4 linked regions of the Struthio camelus genome follow. The main gene of each other region encodes a partner of the protein of the gene in region 2 in a complex. Links are inferred from orthologs where the notes say so. Each region holds a gene or a part of one and is shown on either strand. Other genes may lie near its edges. The genes, in order: TMEM216, TMEM17, B9D2 and CC2D2A.

Evidence for each region.
Region 1: TMEM17 (region 2) and TMEM216 share a complex: the UniProt entries of both Homo sapiens proteins name them as parts of the tectonic-like complex. The link is inferred for Struthio camelus from reciprocal best matches to the Homo sapiens genes TMEM17 and TMEM216.
Region 3: TMEM17 (region 2) and B9D2 share a complex: the UniProt entries of both Homo sapiens proteins name them as parts of the tectonic-like complex. The link is inferred for Struthio camelus from reciprocal best matches to the Homo sapiens genes TMEM17 and B9D2.
Region 4: TMEM17 (region 2) and CC2D2A share a complex: the UniProt entries of both Homo sapiens proteins name them as parts of the tectonic-like complex. The link is inferred for Struthio camelus from reciprocal best matches to the Homo sapiens genes TMEM17 and CC2D2A.

Annotation. Positions count from the first base shown.
Region 1 is NC_090946.1:3,983,346-3,989,318, reverse strand, and holds TMEM216 (transmembrane protein 216), read right to left. Parts: upstream 2,154-5,973; 5' UTR 2,134-2,153; coding exon 2,088-2,133; intron 1,935-2,087; coding exon 1,833-1,934; intron 1,722-1,832; coding exon 1,629-1,721; intron 1,365-1,628; coding exon 1,163-1,364; intron 994-1,162; coding exon 978-993; 3' UTR 507-977; downstream 1-506. Other genes in the region: TMEM138 (transmembrane protein 138), read right to left, coding at 3,322-3,434, 3,654-3,729, 5,208-5,379, 5,477-5,604. UniProt on the Homo sapiens protein: Part of the tectonic-like complex which is required for tissue-specific ciliogenesis and may regulate ciliary membrane composition.
Region 2 is NC_090944.1:140,245,712-140,253,469, forward strand, and holds the start of TMEM17 (transmembrane protein 17), read right to left. Parts: upstream 3,001-7,758; 5' UTR 2,910-3,000; coding exon 2,804-2,909; intron 1-2,803. UniProt on the Homo sapiens protein: Transmembrane component of the tectonic-like complex, a complex localized at the transition zone of primary cilia and acting as a barrier that prevents diffusion of transmembrane proteins between the cilia and plasma membranes.
Region 3 is NC_090957.1:703,795-711,542, forward strand, and holds B9D2 (B9 domain-containing protein 2), read right to left. Parts: upstream 2,867-7,748; 5' UTR 2,846-2,866; coding exon 2,608-2,845; intron 1,965-2,607; coding exon 1,839-1,964; intron 942-1,838; coding exon 628-941; 3' UTR 507-627; downstream 1-506. Other genes in the region: EXOSC5 (exosome complex component RRP46), read right to left, coding at 5,797-5,889, 6,584-6,676, 6,764-6,904. UniProt on the Homo sapiens protein: Component of the tectonic-like complex, a complex localized at the transition zone of primary cilia and acting as a barrier that prevents diffusion of transmembrane proteins between the cilia and plasma membranes.
Region 4 is NC_090945.1:70,664,490-70,672,025, forward strand, and holds the start of CC2D2A (coiled-coil and C2 domain-containing protein 2A), read right to left. Parts: upstream 3,013-7,536; 5' UTR 2,937-3,012; intron 1,249-2,936; 5' UTR 1,227-1,248; coding exon 1,188-1,226; intron 673-1,187; exon of another isoform or gene 487-672; coding exon 406-486; intron 297-405; exon of another isoform or gene 123-296; coding exon 26-122; exon of another isoform or gene 9-25; intron 1-8. UniProt on the Homo sapiens protein: Component of the tectonic-like complex, a complex localized at the transition zone of primary cilia and acting as a barrier that prevents diffusion of transmembrane proteins between the cilia and plasma membranes.

The sequences.
Region 1 (5,973 bases), on a different chromosome or scaffold from region 2:
CTTTGTAACAAGTTCTAATAATAGAGGGGGTGTTTTATGGACCCTGTGCAGTGCAAGGCTGCAGGGGAGGGAAGGGCAGCTTGGGAGACTCCCTCGGGTGCTCTGTGCACACAGGTGGGTGCTGGTGGCAGGCTCAGAGATTTTTGGGGGGGGCGGGGGTGAGCACAGCTCCCTGCTAATGCAGGCCCTGGCACAGCCTTCCCCAGGCCTGGCTTATTTGTGCAGCTGAGGACCAGAATGACTCATACTGCTGCTTCCTGGCAAGTGGCGAGAGCGGAGCAGGGCTCTTGGAGCTGCCGGTGCCAGCGACGGAGGCAGATGCGCTGGGGCTACCAGAAGGGCAGGCAGAGCGGTACCTGGCCTCCACCGGTACCTGACCTCTAACATGCGTGAGGGCTTCCTGCACTGGTTCTGCCGGCATGTGGCCACGCAGGCAAGTGCAGCCCCTCTGCCCCCTGCGCTGGCTCCAAACAGCCCTGGGGGAAGCTACATGCCCAGGCACCAGGTAAAAATAAATATTTATTGGAAAATAGTAAATTATTCTGAGGTTGCAGTAGAAAAAGTAATTCTCCGTATCTCCAACTGACCTGCGTGTCACAAGCCCAGGGGTCCGGATCCTGCTACGTGGAGCTGGAGTCCCAGACGGCAGCAGGGCGGGTGCTGCCCAGCGAGTTACTTGCACGTGTTGCAGGCAGAGTAGAGGGGAACGCGCAGGGTGGAGGCTGCCCTGCCCCGCAGCTGCCCGTTGGCACAGGCTGAGCCACAGACACCCGCCGACGCCAACGTGCGCTCGGCCCAGCGCCCCGACCGCGCCGGAGCGGGGCCAGCCCGGCAGCACATCTCTGTCCCTCCCACCACGGCCAGCTGGGGGTAGGGTGTGGGCTGGACGACGGAGCTGTCAGCATGGCTGCGGGCTTCCTGCCGTCCCTTGTACCTGTGCCGCTCGGGAATGGCATCGTACCGTGTTGCGCTGGCCCTCAGTACGAATCCGTGCTGCAGAGAAGGGGAGATGGGGCTGGGTCAGCAGGCAGCAGCAGGCCCCCAGGCTAGGGCGGGGGCTGCACCCCACAGCTCGCCCTGCCTGGTTCCCACCGTGCCGGGCTGGGGGGCAGGTTATTTCCTTCCTTGCACCACGTGGCCAGGCTTCCAGCTGCAGCACTACCTGGAGAAGGAGGCCAGCGTGAGGATGCCCAGCAGCAGCTCTGCAGCATAGAAGACCAGGAGGATGGCGTTGAGGATGGCTTCCAGGCGCAGGGCGTAGGTCTGGAGCAGCAGGTAGTAGGCCGCCATCGTGGCCGCCGGGAAGGTCAGGGCCAAGCTGATGGAGAGCGGCACCTTCCGCTGGCACAGGTTGCCCTTTGAGCCTGCACAGCGCAACGTTACTGTGGCCTCACCTCTACCTCATGCAGCACAAGGGTACTGAGGCTCCCAGCGGGGTCCATGCTCATCTGTGGCCAGGACCCCGCCGTGGGGGACACAGCAAATGGTTCTGCTGCAGCCCCAGCACTTCCTGCTGGGGTCCTGAGCAAACACCAGCCACCGTGGGCTTGGGCCCTGGAGGTGTGCAAGGCTGGAGCGCCCCAGCCGCCCATGCCAGGCCCCCACCGCCTGCTTACCCCAGGACTTACCAAAGAAGATGCGGGTGACCTCAGTGCCCAGGTAGAGGAAGAGCATGACCACATCCAGCGCCAGGTTGGCGGAGGGGTAGGGCAACAGCAGCACTGCGGGCACAGCCACCGCCGCCCTCAGGGCTGGCACGGCCGCGGGTGGGCCGCCACCGCCCTCGGGGACGGAGGGGGGGGCCGGGGGGGCGGGGAGGGGGCCGGGCTCACCCTTGTAGACGAAGATGAAGGCCTCCAGGAGGAAGTAAGTGGCGCAGTACCAGCCGTTGAGGAAGAGCAGGATCTGCAGCGGCACCGAGGAGCGCTGCCGGCCTGCGAGCAGACGCCGGCCGTCGGCGGGGGCGGCCCGGCCCGCTGCCCCCGGCTCTCGCCGCCCCCCGGCTCCCCCAGCCCCGCTGCCCCCGGCTCCCGCCGCCGCCTCCCGCCTCCCCCAGCCCCGCTGTCCCCGGCTCCCGCCGCACCCACCGGCGCCCGGGCCCAGCCCGGCCCCGCACTCACTCCTGGGCGCCATCTTCCATCTCCATGGAGACCGCCACAGCCGCCCTCACTCCCGGGAGCGCTCGGAGGGGCATGCGCCAGGCCGCTCTCGCCGCCCCCTCTATGGCCGGGGAGGACTGGGGGACCTCCGAGACGCCGGTTCGCGGCCCCGGCCCGGCGGGCTCGCCGCGGCGCCGGCGGCTGCTCGCGGCAGAGAACCAGGAGCCGCGGCCCCGCTCCAGCGCTCCCTCTGTTCAAGCGCTTCCTACCGAAGTCCAAAGACTGGCAGGGAAACTGTGCTTTCACGGGTGAGCTGCTGGCTCCCATGTTCCCCCTGGCCACCCAGAGCCACTGCCCTTCTCGTATGTCCTGCAGCCCTTGTCCCCAACCGGGACACGGGGAACCTGCTCTTCCGCTCCCCCTCTTTCACATCTCACCAGCTCTCACCTATGCACTGCATGAACGATCCTCCTCCCTCTGCCCAACGCAGCTCGGGGATAAACCCATGCCACCCAGAGCCCCCACTGCTTCTACCTCAGTCTGAGCATCCCCAGTTGGGACCAGTGGCCTGCATGACACTGAGAGGTGATGCAAGGTGAAAACAGTCCCAGTTTTGTGACTGAAAACACACTGCCTAGCTAGCTAGGGCCTGCTAATGAGTAAATAACATTATTGGTTCAGTTCTCTCCAGAACAGTCACTCAAGGAAGCTTGCTGTCAACACGGCATCGCAGTCCAAGAAAAGAGCAGGAGCGGCCTGGGGGTGCCCGCAGCACACAGACACACGACAGCCGCTGGAAAACACAGCCAATTTATTTCTTTATAATTTACAAAAACTAAGTCCCAGCAGGGGATGTAATGCCGGGATAGAGCCCTCCTGCTGCACGGCTGGGCCCGCAGCGTGCATCCTGCAGCTCCTGCTGCTGCCGGAGCATGAGCCACACTGGAGCAGGTGGAAGGATGGGTCCCCAGAAGGAGGAAGAGAAGGAAGAGGAGGAATGTGTCTGGACTGGAGTCATAGGGCCTGGACAAGCCCTCTGGCCTCTTGGCTCCATCCCTGGCAAGGCAGCGGCTGGGCCCACAGACGAGGAGGAATGGAAGGAACCCCAGGAGAGCTGGCATGGGCAAACGCTGATCCTGCGTGCAAGGGCGCTGCTCACCCCGGGAGCTGCCTGCGCATGCTGAGATGAGGCAACAGGCAGCCGAAAGCCTGAGCAGAGCTGTCAGCCACGGAGCTGAGCAAACTCCTTGCGCAGCCACAGCGAGTCCTGATAGAAGAGGGGGTCGCCCAGGTGCACCGCGGTTCTCTTGTAGAAGTAGCAGTAAAGCACAGCCGCTGGTGGAGAGAGGGAGGTGAGGGCCAGGCGGGCAGGAACATCCACCCCCACCTCCCTCCCTGAGGAGTTACGTCACACACGCTCCCAGAGGCGGTCCAGGGGCCTCCGCTGATGGTACAGGACCCCCACAACCACCCTGACATGGATGCCAGGGCTGCTGTGGGCTGTCCCAGCATGGCCAGTGAGGCAGGCAGCACCCTGAGAAGGTGAGCCCTTACCCAATCTCTGGAAGACAAAAAGCGTCTGCAGGCCTTCGGTCCACACGAAACGGCTGGATTCTCTCCACCGCAGGTTCTGAGGCAGACAGACAAATGTGTGGGGCGTCAGGGCCAAGAAATAACCCTTGCATTACTGCTTGGGGACGGGGAGAGTTCAGCACCCTGCACCTTTAGCTCCCCCAGCACGGTGCCCTGGGAACGCCAGCAGGAGAAGGCTGTCCCTGCACCCTACGGACCGTGGCTGCCTTGAGGCTCTCCCCACCAGGGGAGAACGAGATCCTTCTCTGCCTGGGCAAGAACCCGTGGGCACGGTGGCTGACTCCGAGAGACAGCGTGCAGCCGGGAGCAGCGCCCTACCCCAAAGGTTAAGCAGCTCAAGGGATTTAGACAGCGAGCCAGGACCTATTCTAGCTTCAGACTTCAGATCCCAGGAAATCCCTGTCAATCCCCTGCCCGGGTGGTGTGTGGGCAGCGCAAGCCCGGCTGCACACTCGGGCAGCTCCCACCCCTTGAGCGCTTACTATCCTCGGCACCATAGCGCTCTGGTAGCGGGGTGGGGGTGGCACCCTCGGAGCTGGGGCACTGTCCCTGCCCCACGCCCAGAATAGCTGGGGCTACGCAGGGGGGTACTCAGGGGCCAGGTGGGGTTGTGGGTTGCTACTTTTGGGGTCTGGTGCCTGGGGCAGAGGACAAGGGAGCGCTAAGGCCAGGGACAGAAGGGAAAGATGCTTCTCAGATGAGCAGGGAACCCTTACAGCTTGCTGAGCTGTCTGATGCCAGCGGATGGGGGGCTGCAGCCAGCCTCTGAGCGCTGGCATTTGCTGGAGATTAATCCCAGGTAATACAAGGTGCTGCTGTCACGGCCTTCAGGCTGGGGATTACCCAGAGCAGTGTGTGCCAGCGCAGCGCCAGAGCCAGGGGGCTTTCCATGGGGAAAGAGGATTGTCCAGCAGGTCAACCAGGGAGGGGGCTGGGATGTGGCAGCTCCCTTCCAGTCAGGGCAAGTACTGAGCAGACTGTGAGGCCAGTCCCTGCTTCTCATAGCTCAGTGCCTGCCTCTCAAATGACCTCTCTTTGCCTCCTGGGCTGAGCACGGCCCAGGAACATCTGCTGCGTCACTGCTGCAGCCTACAAGCCCAAAAACCGTGGCCGGGGCACATGCGCAATTGCAGGGGGACAAGGAGCAGTGAGGAGGGGGAGTCATGCCAGAGGCTGAGAGAAGACCTCTCCCATCTCTACAGCTAAATTCCCCACTGCTCCTGCCTTCACTGCCCTCTTGGGAGCAGAGAGCTTTCCTGGACACACTCACCCACCTACTGAAAAGCTGCTCACACAGGCAGGCTAAGTCTTCCCCAAATCCCCCGGGGGAGCAGCTGTTTCCAAACTGTGCAGGACAAAAGGTGCAGGGGGAGATTCTGGCCCTCCACTGATGCCCAGCATGTGGGAGAGGGGCTGAGGGGAGCCAGGGGTTGTGGCCAGCAAAGCAAGGGGACCAGTGCCCTGTCTGCATGTCCTCTGGGGAAAGTTGGCAGCCCAGGACCCCTCTCAGCCTACCATGACCCAGACATGGAAAGAGATGCTGAGTGCCAGGTAGGCCGCTGACAGGAGGATGGTCCCCTTGAACTTGTGAAAGAGGAGGTTGACCAGACCGGCCTGGAAGACGAAGGTGTTGAAGAACATGAGAAAGATGATGATGACGTTGAAGAGGATGGCAATGTCCTGGATACTGCAGGAGGAGAGAGAGGTTGTAAGCACCCTTGTGGTACGGGAGACCCCAGCCCTCCTGTCCCCCGCTCACACCTCTAGGTCTGCCTGGCACTCACATGAAGAGGACAAGTTGGACAGCAGGAGCTGTGCGGAGCAGCTCAGAGAAGGAGTTGACAAACAGGTCGTAGAAAAGCAGCAGAAACTGCAGGAACAGCACCAGGCTGTAATTACTGGTCTGGAGCATCTTCCTTTCCCAGGGGCACAAGCCCTCAGCCCCGGCATCCCAAGTGACAAGGCCAGCTCATGCTCTGGAGCCGAGGGGCTCAGCGTCACCTCTCGTACCACAGCCTTTCCCTACAGCCAGCACCTGGGGCCTGGAAGGGGAGCAGAGGGTATAGCTCAGCAGGGCCAGACACAAACGCCACAACTGACACAGAATCCAACTCTTCCTGATCCCCACAGTGAGAAAATCCAGAGTAAATCCAAAAAGGAGCCTGCTGGTTTCTGTGCTTCTGCAGCCAGGCCCAGCTCAGGGAACAACCTGCCTGGCTCCTCTTATGTTGCACATATGTAGCAATGAGACTGCCAGTTCTCTACCCCAAGCAGCGAGGCC
Region 2 (7,758 bases):
TGGCATTTTCAGAGACCCAGAGGAAAAACTCTGCCCTATTTTGGGTTACACCATTTCCCAGGATCTAATGTAACTTTCAGTTCACAGGATATAGAATTTTGATCCCTTAGTTATAAATTCAAATCAAGTGTTTGACTGTGGAGTAAATCATAAGCCACCAGCTAATCAACAGTCTCTGAACTAAATTGATAGGCTTTGTTCAAGTAGTAGTGTATCCTGACATTGTAGAAATAGTAAGTGCCAATTTTATTTTTGTTCTCTAAGAAAATGTCCCAAGTTTAAATGAATACACTTATGGCTTATTCTCGTTTTGTATCTGACCCTCCTGGGTACAGACTTGCTGCTAGAGAGCAGGTTTGCAATGCCCACTCTCCATTTTGAATCTTTATTTAAGATAGACATTTGAATACACAGTGACACTGCAAGATGACAGTAATTCTTTTACTTCTTTGGAGCTAACAGTTCGTCATACGTATCAAACTCAAACTTATTTCCGTCTCTCCAGACTTTAAAGGATAAGTTGACACAATGCAAAGAAAAAAATATTGAACTGCATAACACTAGGCAGGCTGTAAATTCTAAAATTAGGACTTAGCCATAGATTTAGAAGATTAAACTCAAACAAAGAAAAACTTACCAGGGCATCCCAAGAGAATTGTTTGTTTTTAATGGACTAAGTTTTATTGCCACAGTCTAGTTAACCGATGTCGCATGCAATTTACTTCAATTACCAACAGTCTCTTTTCTCACGTTTTCCCTAAATGCAGTTTGCAGACAAATCTTCACTTGGTACTACCTGAGCAAGTTTAGAAAGATTTCATTGTGAGCTGCTGCTCTGGACCTGCTGTTTTGTATCTAAGTCCCGTGCCCCAGCGTGCCACCATGGTGATATTCAATTGAAACTCAGATTATCAGCCATGTTTTGTTCACCTTTGACTTCAGAACCACCTCTCTTCTGATAATGCCATCTCTTGTCATATCTTCCAACCATTCTCATACCTGTCTTTGTTCCATCTCAGTCTGTCATCCCTGTTCCCCGTTCCACCACATGCAGCCTGGTACAGTCTGTTCCAGAAGTCTTTATGCCAGTTGCAGAAGTGTTCATGGTAGCTACTGGGCTAGGTGGGAAGGGAGGAGGATTTGGGGACAGAACTGGGACAAACCTTAAGGGTAGGGTTTGATGGGCGAGGATTTGCTATACTGAAACAGAAGGTGCAAGACAACCAATATTTTTAATAATCCCATTTTTAAATATCAACACTCTCCTACATCTGCATGGAATGAAAATCTATAGGTACCTCAAAGCAGTTTTACTGTCTACCTAAATTTGTCCGAGGAACTGTCAGCTGTTCTAATGAATGAATCCCTAAATACCAGATCTAGGGTACTAACCATGGATTGTAGAGGCACTGAGATGCAATTCTAAAACACTGTTTTATCTTTCAAAAAATCAGACTATCTAATTATAACCAACTGTGTTTCTGTCCCATTAGATGAAAATGTAATGTTATTCAAAAAAAGCCAGTGAGAATGTTTTGGGTACTTTTAGGTCTTAGTGACAAGGCATGCATACTGGTAACTTCTTCTCAAGTTTTAAGACTGTGTTTTGGATGAATGTTTAGCAATATAAGCCAAGTCTAATTCATCTTTCTACACCTAAATCGAACTACTGTTTACTTTTTGGGATTGTAAAAATATGTGGAAATGCCAGACAGTAACCCAGTGGCCCCTTGGCACCAGGGCAACTCACTAAAGTATGTATGTGTAGACTTAAGATTCAAAAACAGGACCTCAAAGAGGTTAATGGTCTATTTACCATTGGTTTCAATGGGCTGGACATTCATGTAGGAGTTTTCAAGAAAGAAAAGGTAAAATAAATGATTAAAATAAGAAGCTATTCCTGGAGTTAAGAAAAGCGTCTCAGTGGTGCTTGGTAGCTGTAATTAGGAATTGATCTGGCTAAACGAGGAAGTGCTAGCACTATAGATAGACCGGTCTAACGACACAAACAAAATGGGTTCTCTTGAAATAATAATAGCTTTTTGCTTTATTTTATCATCCTGCAGGTTTCACTAGCAAGGTGACGAAGCTATCGGTCCTTATTGGTAAGAGCTGCAAGAAGAAGGTTGAAGGTCTGGGTTTTTGCTTGGTTCGTCTCCTTCTGCTCTGAGCGTCCGGTGGGTGTCCTAACTCTGCGTAGGACTATTGGGCTTAAAACAATAGCTCCCGTCTTTTATTTGTTCTCAAGGTTCTCTATAAAATCATTACTACGTTTTAATTTCGTATAGGTGGAGTGTACAGTGTGTAGTATTGGTGTCTTTTATCGGTCATATTTTATGCCGACTCGCTTATTGAGCTGTAAAGGTGGGTGCAGAGGGTCGTGCGGAGCTGCTTTTAAATCAGACTGTTGCGCATTTAATATTTTAAGTGCCCGGGAAGCCAGTCTTAACCCTGCGCCACTGAAGCACGTTAAGTGCAGGGGGAAAGATTACGGCCGCTGTTGTTTTACTCCAGAAAACACCCATTAAGTTACACTACATCATCGACAGCGAAACCAGAGACCACGTAGAGACCGCCAGGCCCGCGCCGGCCCTCCCTCAGGAGAGCGGAGACACCGCGTAACGGCCGTGGGCGCGCGGCCCCGCCCCAACGGCCTCTAGGCGTCGGCTGGTGCCGCCATCTTTATTCCTGGCAAGCCCCTCCCCTCCCCCGCGCGCCTCGGCACCGTTCCCTCGGCGGGCGCTGTCCCCCGCCGCCATGTCTGTCGCTGGCACGACGCCCGGCCAGCCGCCACCGCCCTTACCTGCGCTGTTGCCCGGGGACTGCGGGCCGCTGCGGCGGCTGCTGTCGATAAAGACAGTGCGGCTAAAGGAGCCGAGCCGCCTCCTCAGGGGCTCGGGCAGCGACATGCTGCGGCGCCGCGGCCCGCCGTTACTGTGGCGACGGGGCGGCGCGCAGGCGCAGTGGGGCCGGCGGCGCGTCCGTTGGCCGCCTCAGGACGGCGCTCGGCGGGGGGAGGCGCTGGCGTGTGGGTGGATATGTTTTTTCTAGTTTGTTTGGGCACGGCTCGTTATTATTATTATTAATTTGTTTTTTTTTTTTTAAATCACGGTTACAAAAGGTTGTTTCAGCAGGCGGTTGCTTCCCTCCTGAGCAGGGCTGTTTTCCATCTCTATGAGGGTAAATTCAGGGGATCCGTAGTGTTCAGTGATAACTAGGGAGGGAGAAGTGGAGTAAGGGTGGACATTGTTGGAGCTATTTAATTCCTCAGAGTGGGTATTGTTTTGAGTGGCTATCATACAGCGTTGGTTTTATGATAGATCGAGGTAAAACTCAGCTAGAAAATATCCTTTCCTCGAAGAAACCTGTTTGTGGCACAGCTGAGTTAAAAGTAGTGGTGATATCAGCAGAGCCTTTTAATTCCAGTTAGCTTTTATGCCTTATAGGAAGTCTTCCTGGGCAGTAAGAAAAGCTCTTGTTTTATTTTGAACGTATAGGTACTTTGTGCCTGAACCCTAATAATGCTGTAATCTGTCACCAGGATTTTTCAGAACACTTAGGGCCTGGCTCCTTCTGAGGAGAAAGGATGCGTTTTGTAAGCCTGGAGGAAATTATGTTCTGCCTGACCAGAACAAAAGAGCAACTTGTGCCCTTTCCTACGAGGGCTGATAACTTTTGAACTTTTGTGATTTTTATGTACCTAATGTGACGTGGCGACTCCCTTCCCTTCTCCTTCCAAAAATCATATTTAGCTACTTCCCTGGGTGCTCATTCTCTAGTATGACTTTCCAAGCTCAATTATCTCTGACTAAATAATTTAAAGCCTAGTTTAAATTTAATTTTGCCCTATTCCACTGGGAGAACCCCAGAGACAGATGAAAAACATGAGTTCTGAGAAATACGTTTGGTTTAGTGCTGATGAATGATGTAGTATTCACAACAGATACTTTTCAAAGAGCTTCCCCAAACAGATGTATGCCAGCAGGGACCTACATAAAAAACTTGGGTCCTTCAGAAGAGGTGAAGTGATTTTTAAATAATTGCCGCAGGTTGGAGGGGAGAAGGGTCTCGAGGAATCCAGAATTCTGGAAGGATCCCAGAATTTCAAGGGATGCTGTGCATGTCCCCTAACAGGCAAGGAAGGCAGCAGGCTTTGCTGTGGAAGTACTCCTAGAAAATGAAGCTTAAAAGGTAGGTGATGCTACAGATAAGACAAAACAGAAGCTTAATCCTGTGCAATGCTGTATGCAGTTTCTGTTGAATCCTACAGAAAGGGATGCAAAACTTAAAACAGGTCCTGGGCACAAGAAGGCAGATATGCTATTAAATGTAAGATATTCCTTACAAAATAACAAAAGAAAAAAGATAATGTAGCTCTGTCTGTACAGCACTGACCACAGCTCAGCAAGGCTGCCTGGACTAGCCTTGAGCTAGCTAGCTCAGGTTTGCTGCTAGGACAGCTCTGCAGGGAAATAATCTAGCAAAGGCAAAATGAGTATTTGTCCAGCTCCTTTGACCTGACTGTATCTGACTTTGAGCTCTGTCTTATTGTAGGCATACTGACAATGGTGCCTGAGTGAGCTGGCCTATTTGATGGAGTAGACATACCAACAGTCTTGTGTCCCAGCCAGACATGGACCCCAAAGCTCAGAGCTGTGAAGGCACTGGAGGTATACCATAGTTTCAATGACTAAAATCTGTGCCTGTGTGCCTGCTAATTAGCTGACTACCAAGTACAGTACTAGAAGGGTTTAAAGCTCTCTTTAACATTTACGGCAACGTGGAAAAAAAGTGTTAGGTAGGTTGCTGAACGTTTAAGAAATGCAATCTGTATTTGTTATTTTGCCAGTTGCCAGTAGGTGCTAGAAACAGGTTTCCTACCAGACTCAACAAATGATTTTTGAGTGCTTTTTGCATCATCTTGCACCTCTTGCTGTAAAGTTGTGCTATAGACAGTGGCAAGATGATGAATCCGTGCAAGATTTCTAATCAAGTTGCCTGAAACCCTGTTTTATTGTTGTTGCCTTGGTCCTAATCTATTTCACACCCTTCCGATTAGGGGTGCACTATTCCCATATTCTCAGTTAATTACACCCAAGGAACAGGTGTATATGAATTAAAAGCGTGGTTGGGTTTTGATTAAGGAAGATCTTCATGGAAGTTGCAGGGTTTTTCATAGTATAAGCTGGTGGCCTGTTAAAGTTCAGCCTTTAAGGATTTTCCTCTTGATTACTTTTTCAGAATGGAAGGAGGAATTTTTCCTAGAATGCACAGTGTTGTTCCTTTCCTGTTGCCAGTGGCTTTGAGCAGGGGCCCTGATCTCCCAAACTGATTTTCTTACGTTCCCCCATTCTGAAAACCTATGAAGCATACAGTCGGGTGTCCTGTGAGCAGCTCTATGGCAGTCAATGGAACTTGGTAAAATTGGGCTCTGCACTTTCAAAACTGTGAAGCAATCCAGCTTAACAGTCAGTGAAGTGTGAAACTGAGTAGCAGGTAAAGGAAAGGCTGATGGAATGCAGATACCACAAGAAATGCCTGGATTTGCCATGTGAACTCAATTTCCAAACTCAAGGTGTGAATCTGTGATATTTGGCAGCCTCACGTTTATAGCAGATGGCCGAGCATTCCACACGTCCCCGCAAAATAAAATTGTGCACATTTTTATTTCGTGTTTTGGTGTCCGCTCAGACGCTTAAAATACTCCCTGAAGACGGAATATGCTTTTTGTTTTGCTAATCCTGCTTAATTTTCTTCAGGCTGAGTCGTGCATTTATTGTCAATGTAATGAACAGAATTCCTCTGATTTTTTTTTTTAGGGTTTTTTAGGGAGCAGTTTCAAGCAGAAAATAATCTGAAACCCTTTAAGTATCAGAACACCAGGGTATCTGCATTGATAAATCAAAGCTTCATATAACAGAAGCTTATAAATATATGCTATAAGGGGTGACAGAAAGAAAAACGCTTAGCCGTGTGTGACTATAACAGTTATGATGGCCATCTGTATAAATAGTGTAAGTATCCAAGTTTTATAATAAAGTTGTATATTGGCTTTTTATTTTTTAACGGAAAGGCATTCCGTTACTGAATTCCTTTGTGTCTATCCACCTATGAGTGCTTAAGGTAGAAATAGACAGATTTCCAGTTCTCCAGGCTTCAAAATAAGCTACTGAAATGAGAAACTGGAGGAAATAAACCCATAGTTGTGCAGCATATTAAGTGACTGTTTTATTTCTCTCGGCACATGCTAACTATAAATAAAACAAAAGTCACTGAAAATCTGCCTGAAAGCTTTAAATCAGAGGAATATTGGATCTTTGTGTATCCACAGTAGTCCAACTAAGTTGGTAGACACTGGCTTGGCTCCCAGACCGAAGCTCCTGGGGCTCTCTGGCAACAGCACTAAGCCATAAACACCAGATGCAGTATATCTAACGAAATTAAATATCAGCAGTTTTTTACAGCTGGCATTTCAGAAACACAGAGTTCATTTAAATGGTGCCAATGGTTTATCTTTCCACCTGAATCGCAATTGCTGTATTTCTGAATGTGCTGGTTTGGAATCTCACAAATGTTGTTTTCCCTGGCATGCCTGCGCTACTGCCCCTTAGATAGCTATAAGCATGCAAGCAACAGAAATCATTCTTCCCTTTGCTTGCCCTTTAATACCTGCCCAGTGTTTTAATAGAAATCCTGTAAAACATGTAAAAAGTGCTGGTGAACAGAGGTATGCACAGACAAGCAGAGTATAGGCTTGTTTTCTCCTTCTGTTCTCAGAAAGAAGTGACAGATTGGGAATTTTAACAAATTACAAATGCCATGAGGACTCTCTGTGTTTGAAAGGATCACGTTATTAGCTGTGACAGTGTCTGCCAGAGCAATTTCACAGCTGTGCGCCTGGCTTGCGGTACCCTAGGACAATCTTTTCTCCATGTCACTTGAATGCTACTCCCTGGTGTTCGTTTAACACCTAGAGGATTTTTGTGTCTGGTAAACAATTATTGCTGCTGATGAGACCTATTGGAGGCCCCTATTTCAAGCATTATATATAGCTGCAGTCCTTCCATGCATTAAATATATCTTGGCTATTTTAGTCTTAAGCATAAAGACAGTAGGGAAAAAAAAGCTATTACTTGCTCCCATGAATTGATTTTCTTCTTGCTGTACTTGGCATTTAGTTAAAACCGTTTCCTAGCTTGTTTTGTTTTGGCGATTTTTAGTTTTATAAAGCACGTTGGGAAACTCAAAGCTGGTGCTGCTGTTAAACCAGTTTTACTGTTTGTTTTGCAGAAGTACTAAAGGACTATATGGTACAGAAGGAGGTACTGTAAATGGATGAATTTTGAGCCATATTCTCACTTACACAAACGTCTGTTGTCATTGACGTGCCACTGAAAGCTTTTCTGTGTGACCCGACTGGTGCAGAGAGGCCCCTTCTTTTCCAAAGGTGGCTCTGGAATAGCCAGCAAAGGCCATGTTATAACGCTGTCAGTCAGACTGACATGTGAAATTCAGGTTTCATTTTTCTGATCATAAGCTTTGTCAGCAAACGGATGCTCACTCTGCTTCCAGACTTTACGGGAGATAAATTCTGCCCCATTCACACCTGCAAGTCTTGGCACGACTGGGCTTTCTGTGCCTCTCCTCTCCCAAGTGCCAGAATTCAGGCTTCAGACTTAATCTTTCAGGAGGTGCAGAGCAAGGTGGTGGGGGCTGTCGGTAATTCTCAGCAAAGCAGGTTTCATTCGATATGCAGTC
Region 3 (7,748 bases), on a different chromosome or scaffold from region 2:
GTCCGGGCGCAGCGGGGCCCAGGCGTCCGGGCACGGGGGCCCAGGCGTCTGGGCGCGGGGGCCCAGGCGTGCGGGCGCAGCGGGGCCCAGGCATCCGGGCGCAGCGGGGCCCAGGCGTCTGGGTGCAGCGGGGCCCAGGCGTGCGCGCGCAGCGGGGCCCAGGCGTCTGGGCGCAGCGGGGCCCAGGCGTCCGGGCGCGGGGGCCCAGGCGTGCGGGCGCAGCGGGGCCCAGGCGTCCGGGCGCGGGGGCCCAGGCCTCCAGGCGCGGGGGCCCAGGCGTGCAGGCGCAGCGGGGCCCAGGCGTGCGGGCGCAGCGGGGCCCAGGCGTGCGGGCGCGGGGGCCCAGGCGTCCGGGTGCAGCGGGGCCCAGGTGTCCGGGCGCGGGGGCCCAGGCGTGCGGGCGCAGCGGGGCCCAGGTGTCCGGGCGCGGGGGCCCAGGCGTGCGGGCGCAGCGGGGCCCAGGCGTGCGGGCGCGGGGGCCCAGGCGTGCGGGCGCAGCGGGGGCCCAGGCGTGCGGGCGCAGCGGGGGCCCAGGCGTGCGGGCGCAGCGGGGCCCAGGCGTCCGGGCGCAGCGGGGCCCAGGCGTGCGGGCGCAGCGGGGCCCAGGCGTCCGGGCGCAGCGGGGCCCTAGCTCTGGACGCCGTAGCGGGCGAAGTGGCGCAGCAGCACGGCCAGCTGGAGGTGGACGGTGCCGGCGGCCTCGGTGCGCAGGCGGAAGCGCTCGGCGGCGCCCAGCACCAGGTCGGGGCCGCGCAGCTGGGCGCCCCCCCCCAGGAGGCGGCGGGCCAGGCGCTGGCGGGGGCCCCCGCGCGGGCGCCACGTGCCGCAGGCCAGGCCGTGCCAGCCGGCCCGCGCCGGCACCGCGCAGAAGCCGTAGCCGGCCAGGGCGGCGCGCCCGAAGGCGTCGCGGTGCCAAACCTGCAGGTGCAGCCGGGGCCACCCTGGCGCGGGGGGGGGGGGTGTCACCCGCACCGCCGCCGTCAGCCCGGGGGCCGCGCGTGCACGGGGGGACGCGCGTGTGCACGGGGGGACACGCCTGTGCACGGGGGATCATGCATGGGGGGACACGGATGTGCACGGGGGGACGTGCGTGTGCACGGGGGGACACGGGTGTGCACGGGAGGACACGCCTGTGCATGGGGGGATCACGCGTGTGCACGGGGGGATCATGCACATGTGCACGGGGGGACACGGATGTGCACGGGGGGACACGCCTGTGCACGGGGGATCATGCATGGGGGGACATGCCTGAGCACGGGGGGACACGCGTGTGCACGGGGGGATCATGCACATGTGCACGGGAGGACACACGTGTGCACGGGGGGACACGCCTGTGCACGGGGGATCATGCATGGGGGGACACGGATGTGCACGGGGGGACGCGTGTGTGCACAGGGGGACACGCATGCGCACGGGAGGACACGCCTGTGCACGGGGGGATCACGCGTGTGCACGGGGGGATCATGCACATGTGCACGGGGGGACACGCCTGTGCACGGGGGATCATGCATGGGGGGACACGGATGTGCACGGGGGGACGCGTGTGTGCACAGGGGGACACGCGTGTGCACGGGAGGACACGCCTGTGCACGGGGGGATCACGCGTGTGCACGGGGGGACGCGCATGTGCACGGGGGATCATGCATGGGGGGACACACGTGTGCATGGGGGGACACGCCTGAGCACGGGGGACACGCGTGTGCACGGGGGGATCATGCACATGTGCACGGGGGGACGCGCGTGTGCACGGGGGGACACGCGTGTGCATGGGGATTGTGCACGGGGGATCACGTGTGTGCACGGGGGGTCACGCGCGTGCACGGGGGGCGCGGGGGCACCTTGCAGGCCGCGGGTGGCGAAGTGCAGGTCGATGGGGTGGCTCCAGTAGGCGGCGGCGCCCGGCTGCGGCTCGTCCAGCTGCGTCTGGCCCTGGCGGCGGCCGGCCAGCAGCCGCCACGCGCCGCCTGCGGCACGCCGGCCCGCCTCGCACACGCGCGTGCACCCTCCCGCCCGCCTCGCACACGCGTGTGCACCCGCCCGCCTCCGCCTGCGGCACGCCGGCCCGCCTCGCACACGCGCGTGCGCCCTCCCGCCCGCCTCGCACACGCGCGTGCACCCGCCCGCCTCCGCCTGCGGCACGCCGGCCCGCCTCGCACACGCGCGTGCACCCTCCCGCCCGCCTCGCACACGCGTGTGCGCCCTCCCGCCTCCACCTGCGGCACGCCGGCCCGCCTCGCACACGCGCATGCGCCCTCCCGCCCGCCTCGCACACGCGTGTGCGCCCTCCCGCCCGCCTCGCACACGCGTGTGCGCCCTCCCGCCCGCGCGCGCCCCCCTCTGCCCACGTGTGCCCGCTCCTGCACACACGTGTGCCCGCTCCCGCACACGGCTGCGTGCTGCTGCCAGCCTCTGCATGCTCCCACACGCGCGTGCCCGCCTCTGCCCGCGTGTGCACGCTCCCACCCGCATCTGTGCACTGCCACACGCGTGTGCACGCAGGCCCGGTACATGTGCATGCTCCCACACGCGTGTACGGGGCAGCCTCCGTGTACGTGCATGCTCCCAGCCGCGTGTGCACGCTCCGACACGCGTGTGCGCCTGCCCTACCGGCGTGGACGCCCCACTTGCAGAAGAGGCCGCCGTCGGCGAAGCCGCTGGCCCCCACGATCTGCCCGATGACGTGCACCTCCGCCATGGCCGCCCCGGGCGCCGCTGCACACGCGGTCCTGCCGCACACACAGCGCCCTCGTGCGCGCACAACCCCGGTGCACACCCACCACCCTCGTGCATGCACAACCGCGGTGCACACCCACCACCCTCGTGCACACCCACCACCCTCGTGCATGCACAACCGCGGTGCACACCCACCACCCTCGTGCACACCCACCACCCTCGTGCGCGCACAACCCCGGTGCACACCCACCACCCTCGTGCATGCACAACCGCGGTGCACACCCACCACCCTCGTGCACAACCACCACCCTCGTGCATGCACAACCCTCGTGCACGCACAACCCCGGTGCACACCCACCACCCTCGTGCACAACCACCACCCTCGTGCATGCACAACCCTCGTGCACGCACAACCCCGGTGCACACCCACCACCCTCGTGCACAACCACCACCCTCGTGCACGCACAACCCCGGTGCACAACCACCACCCTCGTGCACACCCACCACCCTCGTGCACGCACAACCCCGGTGCACACCCACCACCCTCGTGCACAACCACAACCCTCGTGCACGCACAACCCCGGTGCACAACCACCACCCTCGTGCACACCCACCACCCTCGTGCACGCACAACCGCGGTGCACACCCACCACCCCGGTGCACGCCCAGCCCAGGTGTTCGCACCCCCCGCCCCCCCTTGCACACTCGTGTGCAACCCCCCGCCCCGCGCATGCGCGCTGCGCCCCCACCCACCGCCGCCCCGGGGGCTCCTCGCGCCGCCGCCGCCGCCGCGCGCTCCCCGCCGCCGCTCACACGCACTTCCGGCTGCTGTTGCCACGGCAACGCCGCCAGCCTGCGCAACGCCGGCGCCTGATTGGCCGCGGCAGGAGGGGAGGGGGCGTGGCCAGCCCCGCCCTGGCTGGCGGCGGGCAGAGCGCGGCTCCACCCCCCGCCGCCATCTTGGGAAGGTCGCGCCGCCTCCGCCGGTCCCCGAGCGGGGCCATCTCGGCCCGCAGGAGCGCGAAGGACCGGACCGGCCTCCCGGTGCCGGGTGCCGCGGCCCGGGGAGGCGGCTGCCGGCGCCACCTTGGCAGCGGCAGAGCCCTGGGGGAATGGGGGCCGCCAACTTGGGGCGAGAGGGAATAAGGAGGCGGCCATCTCGGTAGTGGCGCAGGGCGGGGCCGCCATGTTTGCGCCTGTACGGCGGAGGGCGCCGCCATCTTGGCGCTGCCGCGCTGTGGGGGCCGCCATCTTGGGGGCCTGGTTGGACGTGGCCCGACGTGGGTCAACATGGCTCGACATGGGTCAACATGGCCTGACACGGGTCAGCATGGCTCAACGTGGCCTGACACAGCTTGACATGGGTCAACATGGCTCGACATGGCCTGACACGGCTTGACATGGGTCAACATGGTTCAGCATAGCCTGACACGGCTTGACATGGGTCCACGTGGCTCGACATGGCCTGACACGGCTTGACATGGGTCCATGTGGCTCGACATGGCCTGACACGGCTTGACATGGGTCAACATGGCTCGACATGGCCTGACACGGCTTGACATGGGTCAACATGGTTCAGCATAGCCTGACACAGCTTGACATGGGTCAACACGGTTCAGCATAGCCTCACGCGGCTTGACATGGGTCAACATGGCTCAGCATAGCCTGACACGGCTTGACGTGGGTCAACATGGCTCGACATGGCCTGACACGGCTTGACATGGGTCAACACGGTTCAGCATAGCCTCACGCGGCTTGACATGGGTCAACATGGCTCAGCATAGACTGACACGGCTTGACGTGGGTCCACATGGCTCGACCTGGCCTGACACGGCTTGACATGGGTCAACACGGTTCAGCATAGCCTCACGCGGCTTGACATGGGTCAACATGGTTCAGCATAGACTGACACGGCTTGACGTGGGTCCACATGGCTCGACATGGCCTGACACAGCTTGACATGGGTCAACATGGCTCGACATGGCCTGACACGGCTTGACATGGGTCAACACGGTTCAGCATAGCCTCACGCGGCTTGACATGGGTCAACATGGCTCAGCATAGACTGACACGGCTTGACGTGGGTCAACATGGCTCGACATGGCCTGACACGGCTTGACATGGGTCAACACTGTTCAGCATAGCCTCACGCGGCTTGACATGGGTCAACATGGCTCAGCATAGACTGACACGGCTTGACGTGGGTCCACATGGCTCGACATGGCCTGACACAGCTTGACATGGGTCAACATGGCTCGACATGGCCTGACACAGCTTGACATGGGTCAACATGGCTCGACATGGCCTGACGCAGCTTGACATGGGTCAACATGGCTCGACATGGCCTGACATGGCTTGACATGGGTCAACATGGCTCAACATGGCCTGATATGGCCTGATGCAGCTCGACATGGGTCAACGTGGCCCAATATGGCTTGACATGGCTCAGCATAGCCTGACACGGCTTGACACGGGTCAGCATGGCCTGATACGGCCTGACGCAACTCAACATGGGTCAACGTGGCCCGACATGGCCCCTGACCCTGCCCAAGCGCACCCACATGTCCCTGCAGGCACAGACACGCGTGTCTCCAAGCGTGTCCCCACACGTGCCCCGCACACCCCCCATAGCCACGTGTCCCCACACGTGTCCTGCGTGCAGGGTCCCACTGTCCCCTGCCCAGGCTCCTGAAATGGGGCACCCCACATACCCGGAACCCCCTCAGCCCCCCACATTGGGGGCACCCCACGCCCAGAGCCCCCCCCACATTGGGAGCACCCCACACCCGGGCTCCCCCACCTTCCCCTCCCGGGAGGTGACACGAGCTCGCCCGGCCTCAGCCGAGGACCCCAACGCACCCGCTCTGCCTGGGGAGGGGGGCACAGCTGGGGGCCAAGGTGGCAGCAATTAGGCCCCTAATTACCCCCTGGTAATTACCCCGGGTGGGGGGGGGGGCTGCACGCAGGGCTGGAGGGGGGACGGGGCTCGGCCCCCCCAGGGCGGCGGCAGTGAGAGGCGGCAGCAGGTCGGGGCGGCCTGTTTAATGCCCCCGACGGCGGAGGGGGGTGCGGGGGGGAGTCCGGATGGGTGCGGGGGGGTCGGGGGCCCCGGCGTCCGGCGCGTCACCACTTGGAGTACTTGCGGCGCAGGCAGTCGCGGTAGAACTGGAAGATGGCGGCGGCGGCGCGCTGGGCGGCGGCGAGGCTCTGCTGCAGCTGCGGAGGGGGCGCGGGGCGTGGGGGGCCGCCCCACGGCGGGGGGGGGGGCACGGGGGGGCCACCTCACCCATGGGGGGGGCTGCCCCATGGTGGCGGGGGGCACAGGGGGGCCACCCCATGGTGGGGGGGGCACGGGGGGGCCACCTCACCCGCAGGGGGGGAACAGGACATGGGGGGGGGGCTTCCCCACGGCGGGGGGGGGTGGAACATGGGGGCTGCCCCATGGTGGGAGGGGGGGACAGGGGCCACCCGACGGGGGGGGGGTTCCTCATGGGGGGGGGGGCAGGACACAGGGGGCCGCCCCATGGCGGGAGGGGGAACGGGACGGGGGGGGGGCTGCCCCACGGCATGGGGGGGGGGAACATGACGCAGATGGCCGCCCAATGGTGGTGGGGGGGAACGGGACATGGTGGGGGGCTGCCCCATGGCATGGGGGGGGGAACGGGACATGGGGGGGGCTGCCCCACAGCATTGGGGGGGGCTGCCCCACAGCATGGGGGGGGGACACGGGGGGGGGGCCGCCCCCCGGGGCAGGACGGGGGTCACAACCCCCAGTGCGTGTGTGTTTTGGGGGGGGGGGGGAACCGACAGGCCGGGAACCCGCAGGAAACCCCTCGCTGCCCGGAGCGACCCAAACCCGCGGCGATTCGCCCCGAAAGCCGGGACGGGGGGGGGGGGGGGGGGCGCTGACCTCCTGGGGGGAGCAGGCGCCCTTGGTGGTGGCGGCGGCCAGGAGGCGGCCGTCGGGGCTGGCGATGGCGAAGGTGAGCACGGCGCGGGCCTCCTGCGGGGCGAGGGGCAGCGGGGCTGAGCCGGGGGGGGGGACCGCGGCCCCCCGGGGTGGGGGGGGACGGGGGGGGGACCCGCTCACCCGCTCCTGGCGCGCCGTGGGGTCGAGGACGAGGCGGCCGTCGGGCCGCAGGGCGCAGGCGACGCCGCAGAAGAGCGAGGCCAGCGGCAGCCCCGCGTCCAGCAGCCCCAGGCAGGCGGCGTTCAGGCAGCAGGCCAGCAGCTGCGCCCCGCGTCAAGGCGCCCCCGGCCCCCTCCGGCCCCCGCGCGCCCCCCGAAACCCCCCCCAAGCCCCCAATTCCCCCTAACCCCCCCAAACCCACATCCAGCCTCTCAAACCCCCCGAAATCCCCTCAAACCCCCCGAAATCCCCAAGCCCCCAATTCCCCCTAACCCCCCCAAACCCACATCCAGCCCCTCAAACCCCCCAAAATCCTCCCCAAGCCCCCAATTCCCCCTAACCCCCCCAAACCCACATCCAGCCCCTCAAACCCCCCGAAATCCCCCCCAAGCCCCCAATTCCCCCTAACGCCCCCCAAACCCCCATCCAGCCCCTCAAACCCCCCGAAACCCCCCCCAAGCCCCCAATTCCCCCTAACGCCCCCCAAACCCCCATCCAGCCCCTCAAACCCCCCGAAATCCCAACCCCTAAATCCCCCTAACGTCCCCCAAACCCCCCAAAGTCCCCCCAAACCCCCAATTCCCCCTAACGCCCCCCCAAACCCACATCCAGCCCCTCAAACCCCCCAAAATCCCAACCCCCCCAAATCCCCCTAAAGACCCCCAAACCCCCCGAAATCCCCCCAAGCCCCCAATTCCCCCTAGCGTTCCCCAAACGCCCCTCTATCCCCCAAACCCTCTAAATCCCTCCCCCAAAACCCCCATTCTCCCCCCAAAACCCCCAATCCCCCCAACCCCTCTCAATCCCCCCATTCTCTCCTAAACCCCCTCGAACCTCCCACTCTCCCCCCCAACCCAATTCCCTCCCCAAAATCCCCAAATCCCCCAACAATGCCCCAAACCCCCCTCTATCCCCCCACCTCCCCACTCCCTTCCTGACGTGCCCA
Region 4 (7,536 bases), on a different chromosome or scaffold from region 2:
CCGCAGCCGTTGGACGGTGACTCACCGCGCGGCGGCGGAGCGGCCGCCATGCTGGCGCGGCTCCCTTCCGGCGGCGGCGGCGGCGGCGGCGAAAGCTCGGGGGCACCGTCAGCTTCCCGCAGCTGCAGTGGGGCAGAGACGGAGCAGGAGAACGCATGAGTAGGATGGGGGTGAGGGGAGCGGGGGAAAGACGGCGAGAGCCGCGACCTGCCGCTGACCCGGCCCCGTGGGGGTCCCCCGAGCCTGCGGCGGAGGGGGCGGGCGGGAGCGCGCGTGCGCCGCGCCCGAGGCCGCTTGCGCATGCGCGGCCGCGTGCGGCGCGCTGAGGGCGGCCCACGGCGGCGGGCCGGCGGCTGCTGGCGCTGCGGAGCCGCCCGTCGCAAATGAACAAATGAACACCCTCACCGGTTTTCTTCTTCGGTGCCTGTGGGCTGTCAAGGTCCGCTTCAGCCTTTCAACCTGGGCAGCGTCCTCATCCAGGAAATCCTTTCAGAGAGAGGGAGTTGTGCTGTGGGCCGCAGACTGGGCCCCTCTCCCGGCCCACAGAAGTCATCTGTTACTCTTATCAAGTGCTGCGATTTAAGCAGTTTTGCCTGTCTGTATTTCACTGATGTCGTTTGCAGGCCCCAGTCCTGAAACTCGTGACACGTGGCTGAAGTTACGCAAATGTGTGGAGGGTAGTAAGGATTAGCAGGGTTAAAGCCGAAGGTCATCTCTAGAGCATTTTTTCATTTCATCTCCTCCTGTCAGCTACCTGTTTGGCCATGACATAACATGCTTCTCTAGGCACAGTTTAAACACAAATGCAGTTGCCCAACTAAAAAAGTAGCTCTACTGATTAGTAACCTCCTGTTCTTATAACGCACTCGAGCTTAAAATACATTTCACTAATAATTTAATCCAGCCAATATGTTACACCAATGTGAAACAATAGCAATGTATATAAAAAGTGTATATTTCACACCATGTGGTTATGATTATAATGTATTTGCCCAGAAATATAATAATTATACAAGCCTCTGTTAATTAGTACTCACTGTACAGAGCTAGGGAACAACAAGAGCATATAAGGTAATTTTAGTAACACTAAAACGTCTTATAGGTCAGTTACGTATGCAAAAAATCCCTGTCACTCTCACTGAGAAATGATGTTAAAACGGTTTTGTCTCAACTAAGGGGACACTAACCTCCATGATTATCATCCGGGATTCTTCACTGCAGTCCATCTATTCAGTAGCTCACACCTGGCTGGCAGAACCAAAACACAGAAACTGTGAGCAGTTATTTTACAGTCAGAGACACTTTACTGTGTGCACACTGATCATTCCATGTGACCTGTGCACCCTGAACACTCAAATGATGTACCATTTAACATGTAGTCTTAATAGTTTAAAAAAATGCTATTTTTTTGAAAACTGAGTAATTCAAAATACATGTGTCAGTTTATTTAATAATTCTATATAACAGTGAATAAAGTGAGCCACTATATGAAGGTCACCTGTTGCATGTTTTTTTATAAATAACCCACCCAGAGTCCATAAAGTCTCCTGACCAGAGAGCAGATTCACAGAAATTCAGATGTCAGAGACATGTTCAATCCCTTTCTTCTCTCTCAGCATTGGGCTTGCTTGACATTTCATGTTTACCAAGTCTGAAATCCATCAAATTACTATGATTTTATATACACCAGGAAGTTGTAGTTGATTACAAACATTCGAAGAATTTTTTAGTTAAATTGGTACAACTCAATTCATTACTACTATTGTTTCAGTTTCTTGTACTGCACTGCATTACCTTTAATCAACAGGGAAGTGCCTTTGGCCTGCACCACCATAGCTGCACTAGTGCAAAATCCAAGTGTTGATTTACTAATCTAAAAATGACTCACAGCAGCATAATTTAGTCTGGATTTCAAAATTCCCATGAAAGGACTCACAGGATTGAGACATATGAGACATGTTTTCATATCTGGCTGAATCTCTCCGTTAGCCAGAGGGCTAACGGAGGCCGACACAGGTCATCCTTGGTTTCTCCATCCTTTTTAGTACTGGGCATGTAAAGGCTCTTTCACTCTTACTTCAAATAATGTTTTCAGGCCAGGCAAGGCTGGTCTTCAAACTCCTCTTTATCTTTTAGGAGGTGCCTAAAAAATGGAGGAGGAGCCAATGGAGGATGTAGGAAGGTGGTAAATAATTGCATTATCTCCTGCCTAAGGATTAGTACTTACCAGCTACTAGGCCCAAAGGATTTTCAGGTTGCCAGACAGCTTCCCTGACTAGCACAGTGAGGAACTTGCCCTGAGCAAGTGTTTTCGTTAGACAGATGTGACTATGTGCCAAACCACCTTTGTATTCATCTCAGTACCAGTTCCCTCTGTAAGTATGTTGCACTAGTGTGAAGAAGGACATGGCTGAAAATTGGAATGTTTCCTTGCTGCGTGCAAGTCTCATCAAATGCCATCCTCGTGGCAGAGAAAATACCGCACTGCAAGAATCTGCAGCATTTTTATTACTCAGCACAGAAGTCTTTTTCATATCAAGCATTTACATAACAGATTTAAACAGTCTTATCTTACAGGCACATGTAAATGGAAAATGCCACAACATAGGTGAAGACCAGTATAGCCACTGTCTTTAACAATTTTCTAGCATTTCTTGAAAGCAAATACTACAGCAGGCATTTAAAAATGTAATAAACAACTGAATGTAAGAACTATAAAGCTCTCTCTCAGCTCAGAGGTTGTTTCTAAAGCACTTAAAACTGAAAACAGAAGTACAGTGAAGTTTCTCTAACTTCTCTTTGAAAAAAAAGATTACTTTGAAAATGTGTGAAAAATAATTTTGAAGATTTTGGATTCTTAAATCGGCCTCATGCATGAAAGCAAGGAAAACACAGTGGTATTTAAAGAGGTCTAAAAGAAAGCATTTGTTTCCTACCTGGGTTTTCTTATGCAGCAGCTCCAGGACTACAGACAACAGCCAGCCACAAACACTCTCAGCCTAGCAACAGGCTGTAAGGAAACCACTGGCCTTCCTTTTTAAAGAGAAAGAGTCAGATTCCCTCCCATAAGCCACTGAAAAAAAAAACCCTGGAAAATGTCTTTTTTATAAACTATTTTTCTAAAGGAAAAGGGAGTGAGAAAGTCATGAATAAAGCATAGGGAAGAGGAAGCGCTTAAAGCTTCTGCAAACATCTACACATTTCAATTACTGCAGTAACTTGGAAAAGAATATGCATTGTATATTTTTGCAGGATCGGAAATGATTATTTCTGACTGAAATACAATAAAAATAGTCACTCTTCCTAACTTTAAGGACCTAGCTCTGCTAAATTATCTGGCTGATTTCTCTATACTTCCTCTGTAACCAGAGGAGAAGCATATGCTATCCATGGGACATGTAAGATTCAAAGCAATTAAGTTATATATTCCTGAATGTAAATTGTTTGCTGAGGAGCATACCTCCCCCTGCTGACTACAGGGTGATAGTAGACCCCTAGTTTAGACTACATGCCAACATTCAGATAAGCAAAATTTACTTGGATGAATTTCAGTCTGAATTTCAACCCTGACATTAATGATGTAAGGATAAATCCTTAAAGTGGACTTTACTTCAAGTAAAGTTACTATCCAGCAGTTTTTCAAGTGCTATCTCTGTTTTCCAATGCATTAAAATATTCAGAAAGAATATTAACCCAAATTGTATCAAGAAGACAGCTGTATCCTATTGTTTACAGACGATCCTAACGGATCAACATAAGTCTCAGCAAACTTCTTAGCCTGTAATTTTTGGGAAAAGTCACAGGAAACATAGCACACTGGAAAAAAAAAAAAGAAGTATAAGCTTTCAGCAGCTGCACTTTGCCAAGACAGGCTTTTTACCACATCAAGACTAAAAAGGTATCTCTAAATGATCTGACTTTGGAGGAGGAAGACCATGAAACCAAAGTAGTAAGTAAGACAAATGATAGGACTTCTTATTTTTAAAGTTTTTACTGTATTATATTACTTCCATAGCAGAATAAAAGAAGGGTATCAAGGTTTCATTCAGATTTCTCTAGAGGCTGCTTAACGGGAAATACAATCCCTGACACCCCTGGCTAGAGAAGCAGTGGAGGGATGGGTTATCTGCTTGTTGAGTGCTCACAACCATCTTACCTAGATACTAGCAGTGGAAGGAGTATCTTAGCAGTTCCAGATAGTTTGTAGAAATGTGGACTTGTATACAATTCCTAACTTTTACAGGTACAAAGTAATTGATACTATTCCTATCAAGTATAGAGAGGGTCTTTTTTGCTGCACTGAATTTGGTGAACAGTAATTTCTTATCTAAACATTTGTATTAATATCTTCCTTATGAACGGAATAAATGTTATTGCTGATACCAAATGGAGCTGTTATTAGACCTGGTTATCCTTGCCCCTTCGTAACATCTGCAGGTCCATTACTGCAAAGTTTTAGTACCTAAAGTGACATGAAAAGAGGTGGCTAAGTTGTTTCCTATTTCTGAGTACTGTTGTTATCAAAAAGGGGTTCATGGGAAGAAGCAAACAGTCACAGTAGAGAAAAGATTGGGTGTAAGCGTTTTTAATTTGCAGAGAGGAACTATCACGGCTAGGAAACACCTTACGTGCCAACAGATTACAAGAAGGGGAGAGGAATGTGATCAGGAGAGCGGTTTGGTGCGGCACATGCACATACGCAGCAGTGAGCCTCCAGTGCCTGCTGAGCTTCACTGTATCACCGTGGAAGTGATCCAGTGGGTGAGCCTTCATATAGGGTTTTGGCAATGAATCACATTAAACATCTTGTTTTGCTAATAAGTCTGCTTCCCAACAATTTATTCTAGTTTCAGAAACAGTTATGCAAACAATTTAAATGATGGACAAATATGAATAGCGTTACATAAGGAACATCACTACACTACCCTGGAGGAGCAGTGGGGGACCTTTGCCTAGCAGGATGGAGAGCTACGTAAAAAACACGTCAGTACAATGGCTGTACTCACAGGAGAAATACAGAATTCAAACCACATACGTTTCCCGGAGCTAGGTTCAACACATTTATTTCAGCCAGTATTATAAAAACAACAGCAAGGCCAATGTCTGATTACCCTGGACAGCAGATGTCGTGCTCTGAATGAGCTGTCTCGACTTTGTTAGGTGTAACACTGTCACTCGCTTAGGCATAAGCTGTTATTTTGCTAATGACAGCCCAGGATGACCTTTGGCACAGGCAGAGCAGACAAACAAACTATGCAACAAACCATGGGGCGAAGCAAAATCATAATGCTGGTCCTCAATAACCAGCAGTTGCAGCTGTGCCGCTAGGCTGGCGGCCGCCACGCTGCCTCTGCCCCGTTCCCACACCTCTTGCTGCAGGGATGGGAGACCCCCGGGGCCAGCTGCCCAAAAAGAGGCAGCCCAGGGAGCGAGGGCTGGAGGCGGGCTGGGCTTCCCCTCCCTCGCCCTCCCTCGCTCGCGGGAGAGCTGTCACACGCTTTGTCCGCGTCCTCGCCCTCTGGGACATGCGGCCACCCTGTCCTGCCTATGGCACAGGGATTGCCGGCCCGATGACCTGAGGGAGAGCAGTTTTAAGATGAATAGCAAGCAACAAAGGATAGAGTTTATTTTCAGTTTGCAAGGATAAAGTAAGGTCAGGAATGCCATGTACAGCTCTTTTATCCTGCAGAATCAAAGCCAAATCCTGTAACAACAAATGGAAACAGAAGCAAAATTCCAATTCTTACGACATCCATACAGCATCTACAAAATATGAGGACATGTTGCTGCATTCTTAGAAGAGCTAGTATATGCAGCTCTAAAATGATCCCAATTTCAGGGAGATAGATAACCAAGGGGGAGCAAATTGTGCTCATCTTGATTTTCTTTAACTGATTGCACCTTGCTCCAACATGATAGAAAATCACAATAAAATGCCCTCAGATTTGTCAGAGAAGAAAAAGAAATCACTGCTCATTACCAGAACATCTGACAGAATATAGGTGACTACAGGTGGTGCTGGAGAGGAGCAAAGCTGCCGCTTGGACATCAGCATCAGTGGCAGACTAGTTTTTCCGATGATTAAAGAGACTGTTTTTCAACTCAAAGTTTTAAATCCTTTCCACCGTACGCTGCGGAAAGTGCTAGTGGGTGCCATTAGCTCTGTGGGTGCTAAAAAGTCACAAAGTACGTTATTCTTTATACACTTTACTCAGTTCTAGAAATCTTACCTACTCTTGCCAAGAGGTCACTTCTGGAGCATTCTGAACATGATTCTGAACTCATTTATCCCTTTTTCAAGAATTCAAAGGTTTTGTTCCTTTGTTAACACTACATTAACAAGGTGATTTTTGTGAATATTTTGTATTGTGTCTAGGATTCTGACAGGTGCTTTAAATTTGAAAAGAAACAAATTTGTCATTTCCTTGGTGTATGCAGAAACATTCTAGGATATATTTAGGTTTCCTACACCTCAAATTAAGTCTCCTTTGAAAGTCAGGTATTTTCTATATACTTGAATGTGTTGAATTTGGCGACATGAAAAGATTATCTAGCCCGCCTTAATAAACTGTAATAATATTCTGGAGGATAGCCAAGTTAATGCAATTGAAGGTGTCCCAGGAGGAACTTGAGCAGTACTTGACAGGTGCTGTGACAAGAGGTCCCTTGCATCTTTGTAAGGGTGATTCCGTGTTCTGCTGGTCAATCCAAGCTTTCTTTTTAGTTATAAGGCGTGTAATTTGCCATACTAAATTAAGCCACTTTTCCCACTTAGCAGGTTGCTCTCCAAGAGCAGAAATCTTATTTAACTTTTGCCATCTCAAAGTTAAATTCTAACCTAAGCTAGTCAATTTGGTGTCCCTCACTATTAATGCAAGAAGGCAGGTACCTCCAGATTTTTTGTCTTAAAGTAGTTCTCTAGTATAGTTGTCCGTATCTTTGCAGTGATGACAGGAGAGCTAACAACTGGCTTAACCTACGCACTGATCTTTTAGAGACTGCAGTCAGATGAACTTCATGCTAATATTTGCTGCTTCAGGAACAATCTACATCTAGGAAAAAGTTTCCTTCCAGCCCCCATCAGGTAGAGGCTGGACCATACCAAAGTAATTATACTCAGAATTGAGGGTTATAAGCCATATACCAAATAGTTCAAAATACCTTTTTTTGTAACGTATGTACTACTAAACTGTAGGTATTATCGTCAATATCAATGTATAATTGGTGTACTTAATTTTTCTTTTGCTTTAGGTAATAACTCTCATGAGTTGGTACGATGTATAAAAAAGGCAAAATCAAGTATCAGACACTGAGAACTTCCTTAAAGTACACAGAATTTTTTCATGCCCGTATGAGGAAGAATTGTGCCTCTGATATGTCAGAAACACTGATATAGCCCCAGCTGGCAATGTTGACTTAAGTGAATACACTGAAATGAATATTACCTCTCAGCGTTCTGTAAGCTGAAGTCTAAATAGTTTATACCGAAACAAATAAAATGCTTCTTCAAAAATATATTTACTCCTTGAGAAAGAT